Kluyveromyces lactis: one gene and its partner. Each later gene encodes a partner of the first gene's protein in a complex. Links are inferred from orthologs where the notes say so. Each region holds a gene or a part of one and is shown in the gene's direction. Other genes may lie near its edges. The genes, in order: RPS12 and RPS5.

Region 1 (2,391 bases):
CATAATTTCAAAATAGTTGACAATATTAACGATGAACCCGTTGTAAACGAGCCGATGATTCCAGGAAGAACCATGAATTCCAGCACTAGTCCCAAAAGATTAAATAAGTCGCTAATAATACATGGAGGTTCCGCAAATAAGTTTATTCACGGTGATATGTGGTGTTATGATTTAGATGAGGGAACTTGGACAAAACTATCATTGAAAGCCAAGGACAAAGAGACCGGAGAGCTCAAAATAGTTGAATTTCCTCTTACGGGACACACTTTTGTACATAATAAACAGATCACCGTGGTAATTGGAGGATTGAGCCAAAAAGACGTGGATTCTTCTTTATACTGGAAAGACTACAAGTATGACGAAAAACATCAACATCCCATGCATGATACCGATGGAACCTTCACGTTCATCAGTTTACCATCTCGGGTAATTAGAAACTTCGAAGTTGTTAACATCATGAATAGAGCCAGAACAAAATATACGGAAGATATGCCTTTGTCTGCGCTGAGACTATCATGTAATCCCATCGTCTACGATCAAGACTACATATGGACGGTAGGAGGTCTTATAACGGATACGGAAAGCTGTGATGTTTTCCTACGTGGTGCAATATCATTGGTAAACTTACCATTGATTGATATCCCAGGTGTATAATGACGGACTTTTCAACGGAGATATGCTGAAAGTATTTATGACATCCGTACTGTCTGCAAACAGCAGTTCAAATTCGTGAATCGTCAGAGTTGACAGAACGACTACTAGACTATAGCGCTTATTGATATTTAAACTACGAAGCGCGACCCATGCTGTTGTATTCATCACTTCTAATCTTAATGAAAAGACTTGAACAAGATTAAAATACCAGTGACTGTCATATTTGTTTGCACCCGTACATATTCCAAAATCCTCCTCAAATCTGAAGAAAACTAAAGAATTTCCAAATATGGCATCTACACGTCAACATAGTACGCGCCACCACGGACTAGTCTTAAGAAAAATGTTCACGAAAACACCTGGACATTACAGCGAAAGAAAAGGACGCAGTTGTTCTGCCCTCCGCTGTCGTCTGTTGATTCTGAAATATCTTAAGTGTTGAACGTATATAGTGCGCTAAACCTTAAAGTTATTTTTCACGGTGAATGGTGGAAGCTTTATATTTTGAATTCCCATGATTTAAGCTAATATGTTGAAGAGTATTGAATAAAACGTTTCGGATGGTCTTCTTATTAGTTTAGTATGTTTTTAGTTTTATGTTATTCTAAAGTCTTCACGGAGCAGTACCACTGTCGAAGAAGTCAATACTTTAGAAAATTTTATCAAATTAGAAATGTCTGACGTTGAAGAAGTCCAACAAGTCCCAGTCGCTGAATTGACCATCGAAGATGCCCTAAAGGTCGTCTTGAGAACCTCTTTGGTTCACGATGGTTTGGCCAGAGGTTTGAGAGAATCTGCCAAGGCTTTGACCAGAGGTGAAGGTCAACTAGCTGTTTTGGTTGAATCGGTTACTGAAGAAGCCATCAGCAAGTTGGTCCAAGGTTTGGCCACTGAAAACAACGTTCCATTAATCAAGGTTGCTGATGCCAAGCAATTAGGTGAATGGGCCGGTTTGGGTAAGATCGACCGTGACGGTAACGCCAGAAAGGTCGTCGGTGCTTCCGTTGTTGTTGTTAAGAACTGGGGTGCTGACACCCAAGAAAGAGAAATTCTTTTGGAACATTTCAGCCAACAATAAATGAGTGGATTTTGAATCTATGTTCAAATCCAATTTAACGCTTCTGTTTTACTCATTTTTCTCATACTCAACAATAACATAAACAGATTTCTTCATGGGAATATGGACATTGTTTGGTTTGATAAAATGCTCTATTTTATAGTTTGTATATATATTCTAGGGTATCTATATGTTTACAAATAGTTTCCATCTATACCTAAAATGACGTTAATTCCAACCTGATTAATTCAGCTTGTCGAAGCAGGGTTGCGCTAGAAGAATAGCGGCAAATCTTGCGAAGCAGCTTCATACCCGTCACTATTTTCCTCTTCTTTATCGTCATGTGCAGTTTTCTTCGGCGGTTGTTGTGTATTGGGAAGGAAATTATGGCGCGATTCACTTCCCATATATTCAATCATCATTACTTTTATCTCATTTACGTCTGGAAGCTCTGGAAGAGCTTTCTCAAGCATGCATATCTCAATAATTATCCCAGGATAATGACTTGGTAGATTGTTACCTGAAATGGCTCTAGTCCTCTTATACTCCTGGTCATTAGGTCTTAGTATATCCTTCGTTTCATTCAATATATTAACAGTCATCAAACCATGTACATCTCTACGTATCATGATTTTTGAAGCAATCCGAGCACTGGCTCGTATTTTGTCTAGCATTCCATA
Region 2 (2,706 bases), on another chromosome or scaffold:
AACAGCGATAAGGGATGTTACGTTGGCCAAGAATTAACAGCAAGAACCTTTGCGACTGGAGTTTTGAAAAAAAGATGCGTTGGTATTACCATCGATGAACCTCAAAAATTGGCCGATTGGGATCACTCCAAATATTTGAGCATTTTCAGTAAATTGGAACTACAGGTACAAAACCAGGACACTCAAGCAGCCATAAATCCGTTTGGTTCTTTATCAAAACCCGTTAAGAAAAGGACCAGACCGGCCGGACAATTGATCAACTATAACGGTAATATCGGAGTTGCAGTTGTCAGAAAAGACTACATTTACCACGCCCTAAAACACCATCACGATATTGATGCATACGTCGAACTACCAAATAAAGAAACTGTCGCATGTTCAATAAAATTGGAATGGTTGGATCGATTTCTCGAGGAGACAGAAGCGGAGGAAGTAGAACAAGAACAATAACACAGAGTCTGAAAAGAATATATACACTGAGCGTCCACCAATACTACATGACATTCCATCATACCTATTTATACGTAATATTATAGAAATCAATTACACGTACCAATGCATCTTTTAATCGTTAAGAACATCGATAGAATCGGAATGATTCGTCGGCCTTTCCAGGAAATGAAGATGCGCCATTATTGTGCAGTCATAGATAGTACCTTAAAAAACATGATAGGAAGACAGAATGTTGGACTGTTTCAACACCCACACACCAACATTCAATATGAAAAATTAAGAAAGTTTATCCAAAATTGATATTCCTGATTTGGTATTTTGAAAACTGCGAACCATTCTAACACCAAATTTCGATGTGGGAGGCGAGTAACACATACTGAATTTGTACAGGGAGCATCAGGAGGCTGACTTCCTATCACAGTAGTGGAAGCCTCTGCCTACCTTCTTTCTTCCACAATCTCCTCCTGGGACGGGATGGAAACCAGGTCGAGCCTAGGTTTAGCAGCGCCGACCCTGGACCTTTCCCGTCTAGGAGTGGTGCGCGGGAGGAACTGTCCCCTCAGAAAGTGTCAGGTACAACGAAGGTTTGTTGATTTTCTTTCCAGAGTAGTTCATTCTATAGATTGTATGGAGGATGTCAATTTTTAGAGGTTTATGGAAGACTTGTAGGTTTTCAGTACTATTAGGCGATATTATTGTTTAATAGGTTTTTCAGTATTGGATATTATTTTTGATATTTGTATTACATTCGTGTTTATCTTTATTAGGTAGCTTCGTTTTGATCGAGAATAAGAGGACCGTAAGGAACGTAGATAACATATATCAAGATGTCTGAACACGAAGCCCAAGTTGAAGTTGAAGTTCAAGAAGACTTTGAAGTCGTTCAAGAATTTGTTCCAGTTGAATTGGCTACCACCATTCCAGTTGAAATTCAACAAGCTCAACAAGAGATCAAGTTGTTCAACAAATGGTCTTTTGAAGATGTTGAAGTCAAGGACGCTTCTTTGGTTGACTACATCCAAATCAGCAAGCCAATCTACGTTGCCCACACTGCTGGCCGTTACGCCAACAAGAGATTCAGAAAGGCTCAATGTCCAATTGTTGAAAGATTGACCAACTCCTTGATGATGAACGGTAGAAACAACGGTAAGAAGTTGAAGGCTGTCAGAATTGTCAAGCACACTTTGGAAATCATCAACGTTTTGACCGACCAAAACCCTCTACAAGTCGTTGTTGATGCTATCATCAACTCTGGTCCAAGAGAAGACACCACCAGAGTCGGTGGTGGTGGTGCTGCCAGAAGACAAGCCGTCGATGTCTCTCCATTGAGAAGAGTCAACCAATCTATTGCTTTGTTGACCATCGGTGCCAGAGAAGCTGCTTTCAGAAACATCAAGACCATCGCTGAAACTTTGGCTGAAGAATTGATTAACGCTGCTAAGGGTTCCTCTACTTCTTACGCTATCAAGAAGAAGGATGAATTGGAAAGAGTTGCCAAGTCCAACCGTTAAGGAAAGAATTATTACTATATTTACATGTTTTTTGTCAAACATTACATTTATTTTTTATTAATTACTTCCTTTTAATATTATTTTGATGATATATCTCGGGCTATTCACAAATCATTTTCACATCTTCTTTGAACCTACTGGAGTTGCGAGTGTCTGTATCGCGGTTATACACCACATCTAAATCACCACCACATCTCTACCACATCGAATTGGGAGATAATGCCACCTAAGAAAGGGATCTATTCAGTGTCAAAATTTTTCATTTTCCGTGGGTTCCCTTTCTTATCCATCCCACCGTTTATCTCTTCCATTCAAGACATCCCAAACCTTTTGAACACTTACACAGGTAATAAAGAAACGCTACACTTTTTGCACATTCTCAATATATAAGATTAGAAGCAGTGTTTCCACTATAGCTAGTAAGTATTTTTCTCGTATAGTATAATACAAACAAACAAATTAGTTTTTACATTACGTTAGGCTAGACCAGCTTAGCTCATAAATCATTCATTGACTGTAACTCTGACTATGTCGATCGGGATCTTCGAACCTCAACAGACAAACATCGCTCACGTGACTAATCTCACCATTCTATTACCCTATCTTCTTAGCGAAGCAACTTACACCAACCACCATTAATCCGGGACTCTGGAATATCGTCATTCATCTCCGATAAAAAAAATTGAACCCAAAGTCCGCGATTACCCGGATATAGACTTTTTCCTTTGTTACAGATTTTTCC

Evidence for each region.
Region 2: RPS12 (region 1) and RPS5 share a complex: the UniProt entries of both Saccharomyces cerevisiae proteins name them as parts of the small ribosomal subunit. The link is inferred for Kluyveromyces lactis from reciprocal best matches to the Saccharomyces cerevisiae genes RPS12 and RPS5.

The regions. Positions count from the first base shown.
Region 1 is NC_006042.1:18,387-20,777, reverse strand, and holds RPS12 (40S ribosomal protein eS12), read left to right. Parts: upstream 1-1,327; coding exon 1,328-1,732; downstream 1,733-2,391. Other genes in the region: GPB1 (Gpb1p), read left to right, coding at 1-654; RAD17 (Rad17p), read right to left, coding at 1,984-2,391. UniProt on the Saccharomyces cerevisiae protein: Component of the ribosome, a large ribonucleoprotein complex responsible for the synthesis of proteins in the cell.
Region 2 is NC_006040.1:908,820-911,525, reverse strand, and holds RPS5 (40S ribosomal protein uS7), read left to right. Parts: upstream 1-1,280; coding exon 1,281-1,964; downstream 1,965-2,706. Other genes in the region: IBA57 (Iba57p), read left to right, coding at 1-450. UniProt on the Saccharomyces cerevisiae protein: Component of the ribosome, a large ribonucleoprotein complex responsible for the synthesis of proteins in the cell.